Rattus norvegicus: one gene and its partners. The protein of the gene in region 4 purifies or fractionates together with the protein of the main gene of each other region. This does not show direct contact. Links are inferred from orthologs where the notes say so. Each region holds a gene or a part of one and is shown on either strand. Other genes may lie near its edges.

Region 1 (5,290 bases), on a different chromosome or scaffold from region 4:
GCACACATGTGGTGTACATACAAACCCACTGTGATAAAATAAAATTAGTAATTTTAAAACACAAACGAAACTGGGCATGATGGTGCACACCTTAAATCCCCCATTTGGGAGACAGGTGTAAGTGGATCTCTGTGAGTTCAAGGCCATCCTGGACTGCAAAGAGAGTTCCAGGACAGCCAGAACTTTGTAGAGAGACCTTGTCTCCAAAATACTAAAAATAAAAGAGAAAGAGAGAGACCATTTCAGCACGAAAACAGTAAATTGCTTTCGGACGTCGTGGCAGCTGCCTCAGTGACAGGAGGGTGGGGGTACTTAGCAAGTAGAGTTCAGGTGGAAAGGCATGCCCCTGAGATGGCAGCACTGGTGACTGACTGCACAGGAGTAGAAATACACTTAATGCTGTACTTTAAAGTGCTTAAGATGGGGGCGAGCTGCTCTTCTAGAGGATCCAAGTTCAATTCCTAGCACCCTCATACTGGCTACCAACTAAGATCTGATGCTATCTCCTTTTTCACAGGGACTCATGCATGTGGGACGCATACATTCAGGCCAAATACACACAACACATGCACACAACACTCGTACACAGTCTCTCTCTAAGAAACAATATTAAATCAATGCCAAGGGTCTGTAATAAAGTATTAGGAGAAAAATACATCTTTCAAGACCTTCCATGTATGTACACGTTTTCTTATTTATTAGCATATAAATAAAAACATCTGTAAGGCTTTGGATAACATTATTGCTATTTAACTTCCATCCTGTTGATGATCTGTGTTCTAAAAACCTACACACTGCCCTACTCATAAATTATCAATTCAACTACTCATATATCACAATATAGCAGGATAAATTTAAAATTCCAAGTATTACAGTAGATTAGAGTGGCTGTACTTACTATTATTTCAGATGCAAAACACCGGAAAGGGTCATTTCCAACTTCTTCAGACTGTTCGAGGAATTGTGCTGTCAGCAAAGGGCATTTCAAGCTTTTGAAACAGCTATGGCATAAGAAACAGGTAGCTATGCAGTCAACAGTCCAGGCGCAGCACATCTAGCTCTTAGTATCTGGCTTTACACGAAAGCTAAGCGCTGCACAGTTGTTCATTCCCTCAGCTCAGGTGAAATTTGTCGCTGTGACAGTATTAACAAGTGGGACCTTGGAAAGGTGGGATTCACGCTGGTGGGAGAGATTCGGCTGCTCTGAAGACATGAGCGCAGGGTACCTGAGGCTCACTCCAGCCTTGGGACTCCTGGCCGAGAACTGCAGCCAATAGACTTTCATGACAAACACCCGGTCGTTTGCTGCAGCCCCACAGTGGCCTAAGGCAAGCGGGGATAGCTCAGTCCGCACCGCACGATGAGTCCTTTCTCACTGGACAGTACTGGGCAACATGAGAATGCCTCGCTAGACTGCACAGCTCAGGTTCACCTCAATTTCTAGACTGCCTGAGGACCAGTGCTAGTCTAAGAGGTCACCATCACGAGTCCAAGGAAAAGTCACGACAATATAGTAATTGTTTTTCATAAAGTTGTATTCTTTTAGACTCTAACTTTATTCTGTAACTGAGTGCTTTCTAATTCTTTAAAATAGTTTTTTTTAAAACAACTTTTTTGTTTTAAAAACAACTTTAAATGCGTTAGCCCAGCAAAATAGAAAAGTAACAATAGCATTAGTCTCCCAAATTAAAAAAAAAAAAAAAATCAGTACTGTCCAAGAGGAAGTTAACACAAATCCATATATAATTTAGAATTTAAGATTCCTTAGTAGTCACATGAGAAAAGTTGTGAGAAACTAATGTGAGGAGTAATTAATAATTTACCTCAATTATCCCAAAATAGCTAAACTACTCTGACAGGTCACAACTGTACAAAGGTTAGGAACCCACTCTTCTCTCTCTTTATGGGGTGTTCTTTGTCTCAGAGCTTTTGTGCTAGTTTTTGAGATAACTTATTCTGTAATCTAGGCTCTAGCTTTCACCTTGTAATCAATCCTCCTGCCTCACCTCCTAAGGGTGCAATGACAGGTGAGCACCACATCAGCTCATCTGTCTCCAGGCTGTTTGTTACTGACAGTGCATCTCAGTTGGGACCATCCATCTGCCAAGGGGCTGGCAGCCATACTGAACAGTGGTGGGTGACTTTGCTGAATCTGTAGTCAGGGTGGATGCTCAACTGTCTAGTGGTTCAACTGTCTACTGTTTCCAAATACAATTCCCCACTGACAATAAATTCCTTGAGTTAAATAGAGTTCCTGCTGCTCTTTCAGTATTTGCTTGCTGTGACAGAGGAAAGTAAATTAAGTGAAGGGTTTGGTTTTACACTCTCAGTGTCTCATTAAACAAGCATGCTGTACCAGCCCGCATGCTGTACCAGCCCGATGTCTATAATTCAAAATTCACATGCACAAACACGAAACCTAAGGTAACAGCTACCATGGCTCACTCCGCTGGAGACACTTACAATTTCAGTAGTTCATCCTTCAGCTTTGTGTTTGCTGGGTCTTCTTTATCACTAGCAACTTCTGCCACAAAGGGTTTCGTGAACTCTATCAAGGCCCTGCAACACTGACAAAGGCCATAGTCATCTGCCTGTATTTGTTCTTCTGAGTGTGGGACAGGAAGAAGAGACAGCTGACTCCAGAGCGTGGACAATGCTAATCCAGCCGAGTATGCCTTGTTGTTAGGAAGTTTCTGAATAACTGCAACAGAGACCAAGTGGTTACCACTGTGCTCACCCGTGAGCAGTTACCTGTGCTCGCCCGTGACAGTTACCTGTGCTGCCCCATGAACAGTTACCTGTGCTGCCCCGTGAGCAGTTACCTGTGCTCGCCCCATGAGCAGTTACCTGTGCTGCCCTGTGAGCAGTTACCTGTGCTGCCCTGTGAGCAGTTACCTGTGCTTGCCTGTGAGCAGTTACCTGTTATCTGAGGTGGCAGAGCCTGCAATGTGACAGGTTCTTTACCACACTACTCCCACCATGCCTCCCCCACCATGATGGACTGTGGACCCTAACCAGATCAACAGTTCTGTAAATTGCCAGCTGTCAGGTGCTTGGGCCCAGCAATAAGAAAACCAATACAGTAGTTTTATAAGTGGTTACATCTTTCCCTTTTATTGGATTATAAACACAAAATACAAATGGAAAACTGCAAAGCACTGTATAAATGTACAAGAGAATTAGAGAGCTTGCTGTGTTCTTGGAAGACTTTGAATGTTTAAAAGTGTTAAGTGTCTAGACTCCCTATCATATTCCGAAGCATAAATATGTGCTACACACGCCAACAGTGATGGCTTCTTTCATGGGAAGTGTCTATCTTGGTTGCTGGGAGCCATTATTGGCCAATACTGCGTCATGAAGCTTCTCTCTCTACATGCCTCATTTCACTCTGGTGAACCTTTTACCTCCAACCTCCCAATCCAAAGGCTGAGCAGAACCCGGTCTCACATCCTTCTTAACCACACTACAGGACTACCTGCCACACTGCTGTTGGACTGCATGCGCAGGTCCCACTGAGCCACTAACTATGCTTAGACAGCTGTAGACAAGACGCTTACTAGGGAGCTGGAGAGAGGGCTCAGTGGCTAAGAGTGCTGGCTCTTCTGGAGGACCCAGATTCAGTTCCCAGCACCCATGTGGCAGCTTACAACTGTCTCTAACTCCAGGGGATCTAGTGTTCACTTCTGGCCTCAAAGGCACTGGGAATGCAAGTGGTGTACAGGCATATATGCAGACAAAACACGCACATATACATGGAACAAAAAGAAAGCTAGCCAAAGACTACATACATGCAAACAGTATGACACACAGCAAGGCATTCACTGCACAGCCATTCTTCAGGCGTCCTGCAGCTCCACACTGGCGACTGCTCACATATACGGGTAAACATCAGGGTGCGTGTGCAAATAAGTTAAGAAATACTTAGATATCAAAATGCTCATTACCTGTCTGTAATGGTTGCAGTAAAAGAAGAATAATTTGAGATATCTGTTTCCCGGAGGGCTCTTCAATGAGTTCAAGCAAACCCAACAACAATTCCTTTGGATTACACAACTATAAAAATATTCACAATTGAACCTGTTTAATACAAGTTGTATTTAAAGCCACATGATTACTATTTTAAAGAAGACATACCAAGAAAATACAGTTATATTTGCTAGATGTAAAGTGCCCTACTCGGTTGTTAAAGACCCTTCAGAGCTCGGGCTTCCTCACTGGGCTCTCCATGCAGGGCCCTGGTCTCTGTGGTGCACCTGACTGCCTTACCCTCAGTCTGCTTAGCTTTCTCAGCACTTCCACCCGAGCTGCGCCCCCAGCCACTGCCTCTCTCTTACCTGGAGGGGCTTTCCCATGTGGGCACTCACTTGTGTCTACCACAGCACTCGCTAAAGTTTTCTACATCAGGCTTCATTACGGCATCTTCACACAGAAGCTGCTATTGTTGACCCCACCTGTACTTCCCTCTAGCCCCCGCCCCTTACAGTCGCATATCTTTCTGCTGATGACTGCGACTCATAACTTTCATATCTGGTATCTGACTCTACCTCTAATGCTTCAGGAGGGTCAGCACAGCATTAAAAGTTCTCTACAACTGACCTCACCTACGTAACGAGAGCACGTGCTAACTTCTGTTATAGCTTTCTTACTGGAACCAGAGTCGGGTCTCAGACTGGCTAATTCTTGCTGGAACCTGAGTCGGGTCTCAGACTGGCTAATTCTTGCTGGAACCTGAGTCGGGCCTCAGACTGGCTAATTCTCGTATCTGGGAATGTCGGTGCTCAGATGGAGCTGCCCACTTGGCCGTCCAGCCAAGGTCAGTTGGGCATTACCCAAGAATAATTTCTTCAACTAGAATCTCCTTACCAAAGAGCAAGAATTAAAGGTGGAAGGGAACTGCGGCGGTGCTGCTGTGTGAGTGACAGGCAGAGCAAGCTTTCTGACTCACCTTCACCAGCAAATCAAAGATCAGAAAACACTCTTCTCTTTTATCCTCTTCCCTGCCCCTCAGGAGGCATCGGACAACAGGACCAACAAGATTCCACCCCATAGTCTTAATGATGGTCTGCAATCAGGAAAGAGTAAAGCAAACGCTGTCATCCAGAACTCACGATGGGTGCTTCCCTCACATGAGGAACAGAACTCACGATGGATCCTTCCCTGACATGAGGAGCACAGTCTTTCTCCGACAGGAAGGATGAGGCACGTGAGGCTCCCATTTCACCACTGACTTGCTCAGAGCCAGCAGCCATCACCAGGTTCAAATGCTTTTGATGTTTTCACTGAGGGAGGC
Region 2 (6,090 bases), on a different chromosome or scaffold from region 4:
CTGGCAGGTCCAAGAAATCCAGATATTATACATGCTTTCCATATTCCTTTATGCTCTCATGGAGTAATAACTACTCAATCTGAAAAATTAATTGCCACAATTAATTATTAACAAACCGAGCAAAGTCAGTCTAAAATAAATAAAGCTATCAAATAAAAGTAAATATCCTACAATGAAATCTATCAGTAAAAAGCAAGTAAACTACTCCAAAGAGTAGACTAGGATATGCTCACTTCTAAACAAGTGCAAGACCACATACAAGAAAATAAAGGTCATACAGGCAGCTGTCAGTAAGATCCCTAAAACCCGTAAGGAGCTTAAATTTAGAGTCTTTTTTTTTTTTCTGTTTTGGTTTTTCAAGGTTTCCTTGTGTATCTCTGACTGTCCTAGAATTCACTCTGTAGACCAGGCTGGCCTCAACTCACAGAGAGATCTGCCTGCCTCTGCCTCCCAGTGCTGGGGTTAGGGTAAAGGTGTGAACCCAGCTCCTTTTAAATTTTTTTATTACCTATTGTTCAGATGTCCAAGTTTGAAATCGTCTGGCTAAGTACCTACCAAATTAAAAAAAAAGACCTGCTTCAGCCAGGCAGTGGCGAAGCATGCCTTTTAATCTGGGCACTTGGGAGACAGAGGCGGATCTAGAGTTCAAGACCAGCCTGGTCTACAGAGAAAGTCCCAGGGGAGCCAAAAGCTGCACAGAGAAACTCAAAACAAACAAACAAAGCTGGAGAGATGGCTGAGTGGTTAAAAGAGCACTGACTGCTCTTCCAGAGGTCCTGAGTTCAAATCCCAGCCACCACACGGTGGCTCACAACCATCTGTAATGAGATCTGATGCTCTCTTTCTGGTGTGTCTGAAGACAGCTACAATGTACTTACATGTAATAAATAGGGCAGCCAGGACTACACCTAAAGACCTTGTCTCAAAAAAGCAAACAAAACAACAAAATACATTTAAGTCATAGTGGCAGGTACTATAAACCCAGTACTTGAGATGCAGGAATTCAGACATTGGGCACACAGCCAAGTTCAAGTCCAGTCTGGGTTACATAAGAATCTGTCTCAAACAAATATAAATTTAAAATAGCATGGTAATACTGTATGCCTTTAATTCCAGCACGTGGGAGTCAAGGTACAGGTGCATCTTTGTGAGTTCAAGGCCAGTGTACACAGTGAGTTCCAGAACTGTCAGGGATATACAGAGGAACCAGTCCTGTGAAGTCCAGTTTTTGGAAAGATGAGGATCATAATTTCAAGGACTGACTAGGTTACATAATGAGGTCAAGCCAGCCTTGGTGGAACTCATTAAGAGCCTGCTTAAAATGAAATATAAAAGAGGCTGGGGATACAGCTCCTGAGTGTAATGCCTAACATGTATAAAGCTCTAGTTCAATCTGCAATATTGCCCTCTCCCTCTGCCCAAAAGGTGAGACAGAGTATAAGTATTTCCACAATCCCAGCATTTTGGCAAACAGAAGCATTAGGAGTTCATGGCCATCTTCTTGATACATACAAAATAAATTTAAGGCTAGCCTAGTTTTCTTGCCCCTGTCTCAAAAACTGATCTCAACAACCCCCCCATCCAAAAATGCATCAACTGAGATAAAATATAAGTCATTAGGAAAAATATAATTTCATATATTAAAAAAATTAAGCAACTAGCTCCTAACATGACTTGAGTTTTAGGAAAAACCAAAACCAAACAAAAGCAAACCAGTATTAATACTAAAAGCTCTAAACCAGCAATTTATCATCTTCAGATTTCCCCCTCATTACTCCAAAAGAGTAATTCAAGACCTCTTTAAAATTTCATGGGGTTGGGGATTTAGCTCAGTGGTAGAGCGCTTGCCTAGCAACCGCAAGGCCCTGGGTTCGGTCCCCAGCTCCAAAAAAAAAAAAGAAAAAAAAAATTTCATAAGCAACTTTTTTTAGTAGTTTGTTTTTGAGACAGGGTTCCTCTGTGTTGCCCTAGCTGTCCTGCAACTTGCTCTGTAGCAAGGACTGGTTTTGAACTCAGCCATCAACCTGCCTCTGCCTCCAGTGCTGGGATTAAAGGTGGGCACCTGGGGTTGGGGATTTAGCTCAGCGGTAGAGCGCTTGCCTATCGAGTGCAAGGCCCTGGGTTCGGTCCCCAGCTCCGAAAAAAAGAAAAAAGAAAAAAGAAAAAAAAAAGGTGGGCACCAAAATCCCCAACTCACATGTAACTCTGCAGGTCTTATGCTTCTGAGGAATACCTGGGTGTTATAGGGTTAGCACTTAAAATAACTATTGTACCTATTTAAGGGTCAAACACTTAAGACTCGGCGTATCTCCTAAAATATTCATTCAGCTTTCTGAGACACTTGTCCCCATTCCTCAAGTAAACAATAATTGGGGGGGGGGGGGGGATAAAGCTTGTTTCACAATCATCCATGGTTGAAAAGACTCAAGAGTTCACTTTTCAACTCACAAATATGCTGCAGAACAGAGAAGCCCAGAGCAGCAGACCCTCCTTATAAGGCAACAATAAAAGTTAAAGAGACCAGCTTTTAATAGCAAAACACTATGTTCTCTTTATGGTCCCCAGCACTGTAATGATCACTCAGGAACAAGTCTATGTGGCTAATAAAGTTATTTTAAAAGACAATTCCATATTTCCTTGAAATAATTCACAATAAAGACATGCTTAGTCATAGTCAAATTTAGGTATCAGGTTACTTGCAAGAGAGCCAGGGAGGCAATCAGTTAATCTGTAATTCAATGCACTCTGTAATCCTAGACTTCACTTTTGTTGTGGTGGAATTAAGTGCAAAATTTTTAAGTAATAATGTATGAGATTTCGATTTGATATGCTTTCAAAAAACCCTTCTTTAGTTCTCTAAGCTCCTGGACTTGGAAACTAAACCACCATCCAAGTCTAGCATGAGAATTCTAGTACACTTAAAACAGACTTTAAAAACAAACCTGTTTTAAGTGACTCGAAATTCTGCCACTTGTTACTGGACTGCAGGGCAGAAGGGAGTGCATTGTTCTTTGCCACAACACAGTCTACTGTAACATTCTGATGAAAAACTGAGTCTCCAAACCTGAGGACTCCATGAAAAAGTGAGCCAAGAGGCATGTTTTAACACTATCCCTTAAAAACCCAACACCTTGGGTTTTAGCGTCAAGGGCTCCTAAAAGTCACACACCTCAGACGACAAGGTCTATTACAATAAGTTCAGAGACTGCAGGACGTGACAAAAAAAAAAAAAAAAGCGAAGAAATATCGGGAACCTGTTACCTGCATATTCGGTGGTTAAATAGGTAAGACCAGTAAGGAGCAAATGTCGCCAGATACAGGAGGAAGGGAGAGAGCTAAGTATCGAGTGGCAACGACCGCCACCACCCGGAAGGCCCGGGACCCCTACTCAAAGCCTTGCGGCCAACCCGCCCTGGAGCGCGGAGCAACAAGCCTGTCGCTAAGGCAGGCCCGGGACGAAGCCTAGGCCTTGCAGCCGCGTTCGGGGCCGACTGACGTCGCCCGCAAAAGAGCAGGCCTGCCACAGAGCTGGATACAGCAGCGAGCGAGCGCCGAAAGGATGGGCGGCCCTAGAAGGCCTGACTCGGCCGCCTCGCGCCTCCCGCGGTCCGGGGTCGGCAACGGGCCGCACAGCGCCTCAGGACACGCCAGGCCGACTCGCCGCCTCGTGCACGCCACAGCCAACCCGGGGCTCCCACCCAGCCCCTCCCTCCAGGACCTGGTCCGGCTCGCGGGCTGCTACTCACCGTGCTCGGTCTCAAGACCGCAGGCCTGAGGCTGCCGAACAGAGTTCACAACCGAATAGAAGTCTCGAGAACAAGGCCACTACAGCAGCGCCGCGCGGCGTCAGCTTTTATAGGAGCGGGAAGAGGGCACCGAGGACCCCGAGTTCGTGACGTCACACAGCCGGCCGGGCTGGCCGTTGAGAGTGCCTGACGGCATGCGGAAGGCGGGTGGCAGGTTCTGGGCGCCGCAGAGGTCTCCTGGAGAGGTGCTGAGCGGCGATGGGTGGAAGGGTGGCTGAGCAGGAGGGGGACTTCCACTTTACTCCGCCGTCCTGAACAACGCCGTGCTCTCCTTCCGTGCGGACGCCGGCACCGGCTGGGGAACCATCGCGACCCGAAGGGTCTTTCAGGCAGAGGCTGTCTTAAACTGCTTGAAAGACCCCAGTCCTGAAAAGCCTGGAAAGAACAAACCGCAAAACCGGTTGTGGGTGGGTGTGCTTTAAAGGAGTCACCTCAGCCTGACCACTGTTACTCTCCTAATAACCCAAGGAAATAAGGGTTTTTGGTTTGTTTGGTTTTTTTTTTTTTTTTCCGACCTGGAATTAAGGACTTGAACCTTACTCCACTGATAACTGAGCTTTAAAAAATTACGGATGTTGAGTCAAGGTGTCTCTAAATACTCCTGACTTGGTGCACCTGCTTAGTTTTTATTTTCTTTGCATTTTAAGACGGGGTCTCGTTTGGCACAGAGTGACTGCAAATTCATTGCGTAGACCAGGTTGGTCTAAAACTCGTGAGATTACCGGCTTTTTTTTTTCACCACATATACTCGCCTTATACTCTTTTTGTTTTGTTTTGTTTTGTTTTGAAACAGGGTCTTACTAGATAAACCAGGTTTGGAACTCGCTATTTAGACCAGGCTGGCTTTAAATTCAGATCTGTGTTTCCAATAGCTCAGCGCTGGGAGGCAGGCACCACCTTGTTGGATAATCTTAACCTTTATTTCCTACCTTTGAACTTTGAAGAGGCTTTCACACCCCAAATAGCCATTGTTGGAGTGAAGCGCCAAGCCTGGAGAGAGAAAACAGGGATGTGGAATGGAGGGTATATTCTTCGGGTAATCATGCTCTCTGCCTGTGTGTGAGGCCTGTGAGGCCCGCGCTGGGAATCCATCCAGTAGTGAACCAGGACAGTCAGCCCAACCTGAACAGACTATGCTGTATGGGCAGCTCACAGAAGGCTGTGATAAGGTCGCTAGAATGAAACAACTTTGAAGTAAAGGGAGAGGTCTGAAAGGACCCATCTGGCCTCAGCCCAGCCAGGAACTGGGCACTTGCCTGCCCTGCCCCGCTGTGTCTAGGGAGCATCACTATCCCCACCAAGGCGCCAGGCTCACCTAGCCAATGAGCACATGATGGTATTCCTGGCACCACAAAGACAAAAGACGTTTCCACACAGGGCCTCCTAAAGAAACCAGAGCCTACAGTTTCTCCAGGACAAGTCTGGGCAGAGAGGCCAAGCAATGGCTTGAATGACCAGGTCTTTGTCTGATGGCTGTGGTATCCAATGTCTGCCAGGTGCCACAGCTGATGACAGAAGATGAAAGGCCCACAGTTCTCAGGCTCTTTATCTGCAGCACTGCCTGCCCTTCGCAGCTCCTACTTAGGGCCTGCCAGGAAAGGCCCACTTGGAGAGCCTTTTCCTCTCACATGGCATAAACTTGGTGGGCTCCTTAAACAGTCCTGGGTCATACAGCTAGTCTAAGAAGCCAGTACACTGCCTGTCACAAGATAGGTGTATGTTTCTCCAGAGGGATGAAAGCCTCGGTACAGGAATTAACCAATGCTTGGAGGAGAAAATGGAGGTTTTAGTGCTGGGACAAAGCTTAGCATGCCCAGGACCCTGGGTTCAATCCTTGCGGTGCCCAGACTATTTAAGGTACAAATTAGTTCACAAAAGATGCACAAGAAATTGTTTGCCTCAAAGAAATGGAGCTAGCAGGTGGGGCAAATGTTGGGTGATTTGTATATTTTCCTGCCATTTGCCTATGGGTTCATAGGCATGTTTTACATAGTAATTTTTTTCCCTGAAGTGAGTTAGGCACAGCACTACAACTTTTTTTTGCAAGTCTGTTTTCTGGTTCTGGGGATGTGGTTCAATTGGTGGTGTGCCTGCCTTGCATGTGTGAGGCCATGGGTTTGGTTCCCAACACCCCCATAAACTGTACAAGTCTGTAACCTCAGGAGACAAAAACGGGAGACTCAGAAGTTCATGACCATCCTCTGCACTTAGTGAGTTCAAGAATAGTCTGGTCTACATAATTTTGGATCAGCTGAGGCTATAGAGTAAGAACCTAAATCAAAAA
Region 3 (5,757 bases), on a different chromosome or scaffold from region 4:
TTATTCTGGAGCCAAACAGGAGTGACTGTGCTGTGGGGGGACCGTCGTCTGATTCCAGGAAAGGAAGAGGGGTCTGGGGAGGCTGGAGGTTAAAGGCCTGGTGACGAGCAGAGGTCAGCTGAGAGGTCAGCCGTGTATTAACCAGCACACGGGTGGTGAGGCAATCAAGCAGCCGCTGCGGGCAGGCACCCAGGCACACACTGATGTCCACAGGTCATACATAGATTGGCATGTGGGCTGCACAGAGATAGGCACCCAGGCCTACAGCCAACCATACATACACATAGTTCTACAGACACAAACAGGCCACCCAGAGACGGGTGCACAGGTGCATACAGGCACAATGGTAGATACACAGGTCTACAGACAGACATGCAGGTCACACAGAAGTACACACACACACACACACACACACACACACAGGGGCAGACAGACAGACAGACAGACAGACAGACACACACACACACACACACACACACACACACACACACAGGCCTTCTAGTGAAGGCTCAGGCCTCTGACCTGAAGGCTGTATTTATAGAGTCCACATAAAAGTGGCAGTCTGACAGAAGTGGCTGTATAACAGATGACATCACCGTTTACTTTTGGGCTCCCAGGACATCTGATGTCAGCCATTTTATGCTGACTCAGAGCACCCCTCACCCCACGTTGAGCACGAGCTATCCTTGCCCACATCAGTACCATGTTGTTGACACATTAAACTGGCCCTTATGTCTTTCTATTCACAACACATATCTGGGAACGTGGACTTAGGTCACCCCAATCCCACACTCCAATGTGGCAGAGGTTTCATGAAAAGAAGCAAGGTGGGGACCCACTGTTGTAGGATCAGGCACTATCTGGTGACATTCTGAACTTTTGGGTTGGTGGAAGACAGGAGTCGACCAAGCTAATATAGCAAAAGGTTTGACACAGAGGTGGGAACAGAATGGTTAATAGGGGGCGCTAATGATAGCCCAAGATGAACCATAATTATATACTCTGGACTAGCAACATTCCAACCTCCCCACAGTGACTGAAATTCTGATCAGTTAAGCAGACTTGCAGAAGGTTCAGTGGGAGGTAGAGGTTCTTTCCAGAACGTTCCTTCACAGATCCTCCCCCCACCCCAAGACCGCCTTTGGATTTGTAGTCCTGGAAATCTCTGCTAATTTCCCATGGCAGGTTTTTCTGTTTATCAGCTAGAACGGCATTTCCTTAGAGAGACCTTCATGACTACCCTTCATCACTAATTGGCTCCTCCCTCTGTCAATCACGCTGTTATCTGACCTTATTTCTTATATTTCTATATAATCTTACCCGCGGATTCAGACAAGCCCATTAAAAAATGTTTACCTCTGTTTTATGTGAATGTAAATTTTTAAGAAGGCAGAGATATTTATTTGTGTGTGGTATGTGTAGATGTGAATGCTTACTTCAGGATGAGCTGGCTCCGCAGAAAAGAGTGCTTGATGTCGGGCCTGACGACTTGAGTTCAATCTCTGAGACCCCACTTGGTGGAAGGCAAGAATCGACTCCTTGAGTCGTTCTCTGACACACACACACACACACACACACACACACACGCACACACACTCTAAATAAAATGCAATAAAAACTACTACATTAAAAATGCTACCTTTGCAATATGTATACAGCAGCCATTTAAAACCAGGTTTGCGGGACGAAGGAAAAATGCTTCCTTGGTACAAAGGTGGCAAAAGCCAGGGATAGCAGAGCGGAGGGGCGTGGCTGCCCGGAACCTAAGAGCCGCGGTTCCGGAAGTCTCCAGCCGACTACGGACACTTCCGGCGGATGGACAGTCCGTCCACAGCTGGCTGCCCCTGGGTGACGCGTAGGCCTGGGAGCGGCAAGCATGGAGGACCATAACCTGGAGGAGTTCCGCCAGCGCTGGCAGGAGGAATTGGCGCAGTCGCAGGCGCTGAGGCGACGGCGGCGGCTCGAGGCTGGGGAGCGGCGGCCCCGGAGACCGGAGGCGGGAGCGCGCGGCGAGCCGGCCTCGGGGTACCTGGGGCTGGCGCAGGGTCTGCTGGAGGGCGCGGGCCGACCCCCGGCGCCCAGGCCCGGCCGGACCGACAGGAAGGATGTGTCCAGCCGTTCGCGCTCACCCCCGGACCGCGACGCCGCGGAGCCCGAGCCGCTGGTGGACCAGCTCATCCGCGACTTGGTGAGTGACAGAGGCGAGATGGCTTTCCCTGTGGCCCACCCTGTGGGGTTAGGGGCGCAGGTACAGCAGGGATCCTGCACACCCAGGTAATCCCTGGAAGCAGTGGTTCTCCTCTGGCAGCTTTGCCTGTAAACATTTTAGGGTGTTGACAGTAGGTGTGCGCGCGGTCTTGGGCTTGCAAGAGGGTAGAAGAATGCTCGCAAACACCAATGTTCAGGACACCCTCTCCCCACCCCGCAAAGAGAATCCACCCATAAAGGACTGCGGATGAGTTTGAGAAATCCTGCCCTAGAAACGTCCTTAACCTGTCAGAAAGGTTGACTCTGGAGAGGGAGGTTAAGAAAAAGCAGAGGACGGAAATTATGCTCACTTTTCTCTGTATTCTTTGATTTTCCTAACGTAACGTGTTACTTAAAGAAAAATAGCAACCATAAATCAGAAGGAACGAAAGGACTATGGCGAAGAAGAATCCTTTGGTCAGCATTTTTAGGAGGCCTTTGGAGGGCATGGGTCTCTTGGAGAATCAGGAAACCCTTTTCCCCAGCCTCATTTACCAAGTCGATAGAATCAAATCAAGAACCCCTAACATGGATCCATGGCTTTCAGGTTAAGAGTTAGGTCAGAACAGAAGGTTTTAATGGTTTCACTCAAACCAGGTTCAAAGAACATTTCTTTTCTTTTTTTTTAAGTTTATTATATTTTATTGTGCCAAAGAACAATTCTACAGTTCAGTAGGGAATACTTTTCCGTGAGTGAAAGTTGTTTAGAGGAATAACAGGATCAAGCTGGAGAGATGGCTCCGTAGTTAAGAGCGCAATATGCTCTTCTGGAGTTGGGTTTCTGGTACCCATGTCAGGTGGCTCACGACTTCCTGAAACTGCGGTTTCAGGATATTTAATGTCTCTGGCTTCCATGGACACTTGCACACATGAGTACAGCCCCCCCCCCCCAACACACACACACAGACACATACTTTTTTAAAAATGGTTAACTTTATGCAATGGAAAGTTTTGTTTAAATGCTTCTACATTGAGTTTTAAGGCCATCTTTCTTTTAAACGAGTGTCTGGTGCTCTGCCTTGATTCTATAGTAGCCATAATATGAGGTAGATAACTATTTCCTTTTACATACGGACCCCAAGGCAATGGTATTTTTATTTAAATTTTATTTTATTTCTTTTTTTCAATTTGCTTAGAATTACCCAACTGAGAAATTCTGGGGATTGAATTTGGATTCCTGTGTTTTAACTTCACCAAGTGAAGCTTGAGTTCCCCGACCCCCATCCCCCTGGCCTTAGTGTAGGTTCCTGAGTCCTCTCAGACCTGCTAAGCAGCAGCCTGGGGAAGTAGCTCATCTGATGACTGAGAACCCGTGGGGGTTTAGATACCGTCAGCTGTGTAGCCTCTGTGCTGGCTAGTTTTTACGTCAACTTGACACAAGCCAGAGTGACTGGAAAGGAGGAGCCTCAACTGAGACGATGCCTCCGTAGGATTGAGCTGTAGGCAAACCTGTAGGGCATTTTCTTAATTAGGGATTGGTGGGAGAGGGGATGGTTCATTGTGGGTAGAAACACCCATGGCCTGGTGGTCCTGGTTTCCATAAGGAAGCAGGCTGAGGAAGCCAGTAAGCAGCACCTCTCCGTGGCCTCTGCAGTAGCTCCTGCCCCAGGTTCCTATCCTGACTTTCTGCAGTGATGGACTATGATGTGGAGATATAAGCCAAGTAAATCCCTTTCGCCCCTCATCTTGTTTAGGGTCATGGTTTTTATTACAGCAATTAAAAACCTTGACTAAGATAGACCCGAAATCCTAATACACAAGACTTTCCAGCCTCACACTCAGGCAGCACTCCAGAATCAGAAATAAAGTGTCAGGGACCTAGGAGGAAGGTCCAGGGCATACCAGACTCTTAAGTTTCATATGGAGTTGGCAAAAACCTTCCCTGTGTCTTGTCCCAGGGGTGAATGATAGTAGGCTCCTCTGCCCAGCCAGAAGCACCACACTAGGAACTGTTTTGGTTTCTTCTGAGCAGCAGCCAGCTCTCCAATTAGTGACATCTGTACAAAAGAAGACGCCATGGGTCATTGTGTGCTCAGGTGACTGGAATTACACAGGTTGAGCCACCTGACATGGGTGTTAGGAATAGAATTTGGGACCCTTGGATGACAGATTCTGCTCTTAACTATCAAGGTGTCACTGTGTACCTTAGACTGGCATTAGATTCTTTCTTTGCCCCCCAACCCCCGTGTGTGTGTGTGTGTGTGTGTGTGTGTGTGTGTGTGTGTATGAGAGAGGAGGGTGGTTGAGATTTCCTGTAGATGTCTGTGCGCTCAGCCTGCATGTGGAGAGCAGAGGACAGCCCCGGATGTTGACCCTCAGGCACCTCCACATTTTATTTGGCTTGGAGCGTTGTCACAAAGCCCAAGCTAGCTGTCCCTTGCACTTCCAGACATTTGTTTCTTCTCTCTTCCCACCTTCTCTGGTATCTCAGGCATATGTCTTCATGCTTGCCTTTTTCCATGTGTCCTGGAGGTCTAAGCAGGGTCCTTACACTTGTAAGGCGAGTGCCTTACTGACTGAGCCTCCTCCCCCCTGGCCTGGCCTTTTTATTTTCGTGTCTCTTCTTCCCGAGGGCTGTGGTCACAGTGCTGGCTGCCCAGTGCTTCACAGACAATATCTTCATCATTCCCAACAACCCTCTCCTTTGGCTGTCTTCTACGTGTCCTGGTAGCTGAACAGGAGGAAGGTAGGTTTGGTTTTGAAGGACAGTGAACTCATCCTGTATCTTCAGCCTAAGAGATGGCAGTGATGTTTATTAAGAACCTCGGCTCCCTGTGGCAGTAAATGTGAGCTCCACAGCACATGGGGTCAGAGGGCAACTGTGTAGGTGTGGGGGTCTTGCCTAGTTCATCAGGAATTTTGTTCCATGTCTTCCGAGACAGCTTTGTGATGATTCGTTTTATAGTGGCAACCAAAATTAGATATTAAACATGGTGGGTAGTGTAGGGTGTTCTTTCCAACTGTTCAGTTTTCTTTACTTAAAGTTTATACATGATCTGAATAAAACCATTCTGTATCCCAGCGTGGTCACTGGCCAAAGTACACATTACATCAAGGAGCTTTTTTCTCCTTTTTTAAAAAACAACAACAACAACAAATAAGGTATCTTAGTTCTTTTGCTGTGAAAAGACACTGCGACCAAGGCAGCTCTTATAAAAGAAAGCATTTAATTGGTGGCTTGCTTACAGTTTTAGAGCTTTAGTCTATAATCCTGGTGGAAAGCTGACAGGCATAGTGCTGGAGCAGGAGCTGAGAGCTTTGCATCCTTTTGATCTGCCAGCAGAGACCTCAGAGCCCACCCTCTCCTCCTGACAAGGCTTCTCACCTCCTCCTACAAGACCACACCCCCTAATCCTTCCCAAACAGTTCTTCTAACTGGGGAGCAAGCATTTAAGTCCATGAGTCTATGGGGGCCATTCTCACTCAAACCACCCCACAGGTGCCAGCCACTATGTAGACCAGGCTGGCTTCTGACTCAAATCCTCCTGTCAGTTCTGGAATTGAAGATGT
Region 4 (5,290 bases):
TGGTGCAAGCCATGCGCTGGGACTGGGCCTCAAGCAGATCAGAGAGCTCCTCTCCCATTTTCCAGCCTCCGCCAACAGAGTTCTTCCGCCCCCGTGCCCAGCGTTTCAGGAGGTCAAGGCGGTTTCGCCCGCGCACCGCATTTGCGAGTGTCAACACCTATGCCTTGTATGTGCGGGATACGCTACGGCCCGGGATGCGGGTACGGATGCTGGAGGATTTCGAGGAGATCAGTGCTGGGGACGAAGGCCAGTTCCGACAGAGCAACGACGGCATGCCTCCGGTCCAGGTAAAGGCTGTACAGTAGTGAGACCCTGAAATTCTATTCTGGGTAAGGCATGCATGCCTGGGTGTTCTGTACTAGAGGCTCAGTTAAGATCCAAAGGGCAAAGGCATTAACAGTTGAAAGGACATGGAACCCTTGGGATATGTGATTAAAGGAAGTTCGGACCCAAGAAGAAACTGGTAGATCCGAATTTGGCAATGGCTGTTTGAGGCCAGATGGAAGCATTGAATATCAAAGACAGAGACGATCCAGGCGTGGTAGCCATGTTTGTAGTCTCAGAACTCGGGAGGTAGAGAGAGACAGGAAGATGGGAGTTCAAGGCCAGCCGTGACCACATAGCAATGTTGAGGCCAGTCTGGGACCCCCGTCTGAAAGAGAGTAAAAACAGAACTAGAATAAAGGAAGTAGAGGCCATTGCTGAAGAGAGGGTGGGGCTGTCTGTATATACACTGTCGTCTATGCATTCTATATATTCTATAGCCAGTGTTGCTATTTGGTCACCTTATAGACCATGAGCCCCAGCGTTGGGCCTCAGCTGATTAATAGCAAATCCTCTTCTCCTTCCCTCTTCCCGCGCTCCAATCCTCCAGGTGTTGTGGGATTCGACAGGCCATACCTACTGGGTACACTGGCACATGCTTGAGATCTTGGGCTTTGAGGAAGACATTGAGGATGTGGTTGACATTGATGACCAGGGGGCAATGGTCCATGGAGGACTGGGTGTAGGTGAGCTCGGGGAGGGGTTGGCTCTGAGCCGAGAAGCAGAGGCCTACCTGGGCAGGCAGTGACTTGGCCGTTGGCACGCCCCGTTTTCACAGCCCCGCCATTCCAGCACTGGAAGCCCATAGCTCAGCTCTTTGCCGAGCCTTACGTGGTGCCCGAGGAGGAAGACAGGGAAGAGAGAGAGCACTTGACCCAGGCCGAGTGGTGGGAGCTCTTCTTCTTCATCAAGAAGTTAAACGCAGAGGAACGGCAGCACGTGGTGGAGCTCCTTCAGGAGTTCCTGGAGGGGGAGGTAGGCACTCCTCAGAGGCGCCCCCTACAGGTCTGGACTGGAACATTTGCAAAGCTCGGGAGGGGACGTGGAGGTCAGATAGCATCAGGGGCCCACAGTGGAGGAGTCTGGGAAGTTCAAAGATGCAAGTGTTGGTGGGCTGTCAGCTACCAGAGGTTCAGAATGGTGGATGTGTGTGGAGATTCCCCATTCCCCCAGAGGACCTCTCACCATCTGCTCGTTCAGCTGCTACGGGCTGACTTTCTTCCCACAGCATGTTCTGGACTTTGAGATCCTGCCCGAGCTGACTGTACCTGTTGAGTTGGCTCAGGACCTGATGCTGTCTCTGCCTCAACAACTTGATGACAGCGCTTTGAGGGACCTGTTCAACTGCTATGTGTACCGGAAGTACGGCCCCGAAGTCCTGGTAGGGAAGCGAAACCGCCCGTTTGTGCTAGATGACCAGCTTAACCTATTCCGGATCGAAACGGACTCTGAAGATGAGGCTGGCGCTGAAGGTGAGTGTCCCGCAGACAGCAGCAGAGACACCTGCCTTCGGGAGAGTGTCGTCACAGGGGGGTCTCCTCTAACAGTGTGCTGTCCTGTCTGAAAGAGATACCCTACCCACAGTCCCAGAAACTTTATATGTGCGTCCACGTGAGTGCGTGTGCGTGCGCGCGCGTGCGTACCTGTGTGTCTAGACCCGAAGACAATTACAGATGTCGTTCCTCAGCTGTCATTTATCTTTTATTTAAATTGATTTTATTTTAGCTGAGTGTGGTGGCCCACACAGATATCTGAGTTTGAAGCCAGCCTGCTCTATAGAGCAAATTCCAGGACAGCCAGGGCTACACAGAAACCCTGTCTCAAAAGTACCAAGCCGGGGTTGGGGATTTAGCTCAGTGGTAGAGCGCTTGCCTAGGAAGCGCAAGGCCCTGGGTTCGGTCCCCAGCTCCGAAAAAAAGAACCAAAAAAAAAAAAGTACCAAGCCAAAAAAAAATTTTTATTTTATTTTATTCGTATGGGTATTGTGTGTCTATTACGTCCATGCAGTGCCCACAGAGGCCAGAAGAGGGCGTCGGCTCTCCTGGAGTTGAGGTTCTAATTAGTTGTGAGCTGCCAAGTGGATGCTGGCGATTGAACCTGGAGCCTCTGGAAAAACAAGTGTTCTTAATCTTGACCCATCTCTGTAGACCCATCCGCCACACTTTTTCTTCCTCCTTTCTTTCCTCTATCTCTCTTTCTTTTCTTCTTTTTTTTTTGGGGGGGGGGGGGGGCAAGTTCTCCTGCTGCCCTGGTCCTTGCTGTCTCCACCATATGTATGAACCACAGGCATGAACCACTGTGTTCAGTTATTGTTTCTAGAAGATTTTATTTCTAATTATGTGTCTGTATGTGGGTTCGTGCGTGTGAATGCAGATACCCCAAGTAGGCCAGTGAGACTGTCAGATGGCTGGAGCTGGAGTTGCAGTGGGTCACGAGCTGCCTGACACAGGTACTGCCAATTCTTACCCCACTCTTGTTCCTCCAGCCCAAGATCCCCCATCTCAGAGTGCCAGCCCTGCCCTGCGGCAACTGGTGGAGGGCTTGGGCCCATCTGGGAAGCTCCTTGTGGACCTGGAGCGAGCCCTCAGCTCTGAGGCTCCCCAGGAAAATGAGGTCAAGCCATGCCTGCTGCAGCTGCAGGAGGAGCCCCAGCCCTTCCTCACACTCATGCGGAGTCTGGACACTCCAGCCAGCAACAAGGCCCTGCACCTGACTGCGCTGAGGTGGGAGAGCAGTGAGGGGCAGGGCTGGGCACAGGAAGGCCTCACACCAACCTGATTATCTCTCTACCTTCCCGTTTCTGTCTCTCCCCCTAGAATCTTGATGCAGCTGGTGAACTTCCCTGAGGCACTGCTGCTTCCCTGGCATGAAGCCATGGATGCCTGTATGACCTGCCTTCGGTCCCCCAATACTGACCGAGAGGTAGCCCTGTCCCACTCTGGGGAGATGCTGGGCGGTGGGAGGACCCCAGTGAGGCAGACCCCCGGGTGAGGCTTGGAGGATGCAACAGAGTCTTTGTGTTCTTGCCTTTAAAATGAAAATCTTATGTTTTTTAAATAGGTAATATTCAGAAAAGTTCACAAGTCAAAATGGCACAAGGTAGTCCTTGAGAATTCTGGCTCTTACCTGATTCTCATTGTCTGAGCGTCCTTGCTGGTAACCCACTGTATTAATCTATAGTCTGTCCCCTGCTTCCTTAAGCGTATAGAAATGAGCTCGGCGGGCTTCAGCCAGGCCTTCAGGAGGAAGGGGAGCAGCCTCGCTGCTCTTGTAGAGGACCCAGATTTAGTTCTCAGCACCCACCGGACAGCTCGCAACCATCTGTAACTCGTTCTAGGGAGGAGGTAGACACCTCTTTCTAGTCACATGCACACACGGTGTAATGGCAGGCAAATACTCTCACATAAGATTTAAATAACTTTACGAAATCTTTTCAGAGAGGGAGTGAGGGAGCAGACTTTTCTATAAGAGGTCCTGGGTACAGGAGGCCTCAGAAGGGTCAAATGTATGGTGTTAATGAGTATCTCAAGTCGATGCCTTCAGTTGCCAAGCTAGACCAGAGAGAAGTTCAGGCCTTCTCTTCCCTTCTAGCCCTCATTAAGTGTCTGGGCTGGGGGCCTACACATCTCAACACCAATCCTGCAGCTGGCTCCTGGGAGCCACAGCTGAGTCCAAGAACTGAGGATCCTCTACCTGTTCCCCACATACTTGGTGGCTAAGAGCCCCAGAGGGCAAGCAGGCTCTTCCCATAGGTTTGACCTTGTTTCTCTAACTGCACCTGGTTTTTATATTACTTCCACACACTGCCTTGCTCGGCTCCCAGCACAGAGTGGGCATGAGTCACCACAGCTATCCATGTAGCCGAGGCTTGCCCCTTTCTTCACTGTCCCCTTGATTGACATCCCCGCTCAGGTGCTCCAGGAACTAATCTTTTTCCTACACCGCCTGACCTCCACGAGCCGGGACTATGCGGTGATCCTAAACCAGCTAGGAGCCCGGGACGCCATCTCCAAGGTCCTGGAAAAGCACCGAGGGAAACTGGAGTTGGCTCAGGAGCTGCGGGACATGGTGTTCAAGTGTGAGAAGCATGCTCACCTCTACCGGAAACTCACCACAAATATTCTGGGCGGTTGCATCCAGGTCAGGAGGAAGGGCAGGAGGAAGTGGAGGTTCTGAGCTACCTAAGAACATGAATTCTGAGCAATGGCAGGGTTTGGGTGTTGGCTCGAGTGAGCCTGGAGGTGTGTGTTCCCTTAGTGTTTGACCTTTCCTCTGTGTGTGTTTGCTTGAGCCTTGTGTCTCTCCTTTCTCTGATGTTCTGGCTCCAGATGGTGCTGGGCCAGATTGAAGACCACAGACGAACCCACCGGCCCATCCAAATCCCGTTCTTTGATGTGTTTCTCAGATATCTGTGCCAGGGTTAGTGTCTGTCCCTGATCTGTTTCATTTACCATCACCCATTGTCCCCTTTGTGCTTACCTGGCTGTGACCTTTACCCTTTCCCGCTGTCCGCGTCCCCCACCCCCCCCCCCCAGGCTCCAGTGCGGAAGTGAAGAAAAATAAGTACTGGGAGAAGGTAGAGGTGTCCTCCAACCCACACCGGGCCAGCAGGCTGACGGACCGCAACGCCAAGACCTACTGGGAGTCAAATGGCACTGCCGGCTCCCACTTCATCACCGTGCACATGCGCCCGGGTGTCCTCATCAGGTAATGCGCTCCCACATGCACGCGTGGGTGGCCCTGTATTTGTCCTGCCGGAGTCACCTGGGCTCTTGAATGTGGACATGACACGGGGGTCCCAGTTCCCATTGGTTCTTCCTCCCCATTCCCAGGCAGCTAACTCTACTGGTGGCTGGTGAGGACTCAAGCTACATGCCAGCCTGGGTGGTGGTGTGTGGGGGCGACAGCATCAGCTCTGTTAATACAGAACTCAATGCGGTAGGGACCCCTATGCCCCGGCCCATCC

Evidence for each region.
Region 1: the proteins of Cul7 (region 4) and Glmn purify together in Homo sapiens (affinity purification with mass spectrometry; 4 studies listed by BioGRID and IntAct, counting the BioPlex papers as one, with this or other methods). This does not show direct contact. The link is inferred for Rattus norvegicus from reciprocal best matches to the Homo sapiens genes CUL7 and GLMN.
Region 2: the proteins of Cul7 (region 4) and Skp1 purify together in Homo sapiens (affinity purification with mass spectrometry; 8 studies listed by BioGRID and IntAct, with this or other methods). This does not show direct contact. The link is inferred for Rattus norvegicus from reciprocal best matches to the Homo sapiens genes CUL7 and SKP1.
Region 3: the proteins of Cul7 (region 4) and Fbxw8 purify together in Homo sapiens (affinity purification with western blotting; 12 studies listed by BioGRID and IntAct, with this or other methods). This does not show direct contact. The link is inferred for Rattus norvegicus from reciprocal best matches to the Homo sapiens genes CUL7 and FBXW8.

The regions. Positions count from the first base shown.
Region 1 is NC_086032.1:2,344,386-2,349,675, reverse strand, and holds part of Glmn (glomulin), read right to left. Parts: intron 5,063-5,290; coding exon 4,946-5,062; intron 4,078-4,945; exon of another isoform or gene 4,054-4,077; coding exon 3,945-4,053; intron 2,702-3,944; coding exon 2,464-2,701; intron 1,002-2,463; coding exon 899-1,001; intron 1-898.
Region 2 is NC_086028.1:36,900,647-36,906,736, reverse strand, and holds the start of Skp1 (S-phase kinase-associated protein 1), read right to left. Parts: upstream 3,830-6,090; 5' UTR 3,747-3,829; intron 3,709-3,746; exon of another isoform or gene 3,268-3,708; coding exon of another isoform or gene 3,262-3,267; intron 1-3,261. UniProt on the Homo sapiens protein: Essential component of the SCF (SKP1-CUL1-F-box protein) ubiquitin ligase complex, which mediates the ubiquitination of proteins involved in cell cycle progression, signal transduction and transcription.
Region 3 is NC_086030.1:44,085,554-44,091,310, forward strand, and holds the start of Fbxw8 (F-box/WD repeat-containing protein 8), read left to right. Parts: upstream 1-1,821; 5' UTR 1,822-1,876; coding exon 1,877-2,188; intron 2,189-5,757. UniProt on the Homo sapiens protein: Substrate-recognition component of the Cul7-RING(FBXW8) ubiquitin ligase complex, which mediates the ubiquitination and subsequent proteasomal degradation of target proteins.
Region 4 is NC_086027.1:21,822,737-21,828,026, reverse strand, and holds part of Cul7 (cullin 7), read left to right. Parts: coding exon 1-287; intron 288-874; coding exon 875-1,010; intron 1,011-1,102; coding exon 1,103-1,299; intron 1,300-1,552; coding exon 1,553-1,796; intron 1,797-2,809; coding exon 2,810-3,047; intron 3,048-3,140; coding exon 3,141-3,246; intron 3,247-4,236; coding exon 4,237-4,464; intron 4,465-4,652; coding exon 4,653-4,743; intron 4,744-4,859; coding exon 4,860-5,031; intron 5,032-5,156; coding exon 5,157-5,262; intron 5,263-5,290. UniProt on the Homo sapiens protein: Core component of the 3M and Cul7-RING(FBXW8) complexes, which mediate the ubiquitination and subsequent proteasomal degradation of target proteins. Core component of the 3M complex, a complex required to regulate microtubule dynamics and genome integrity.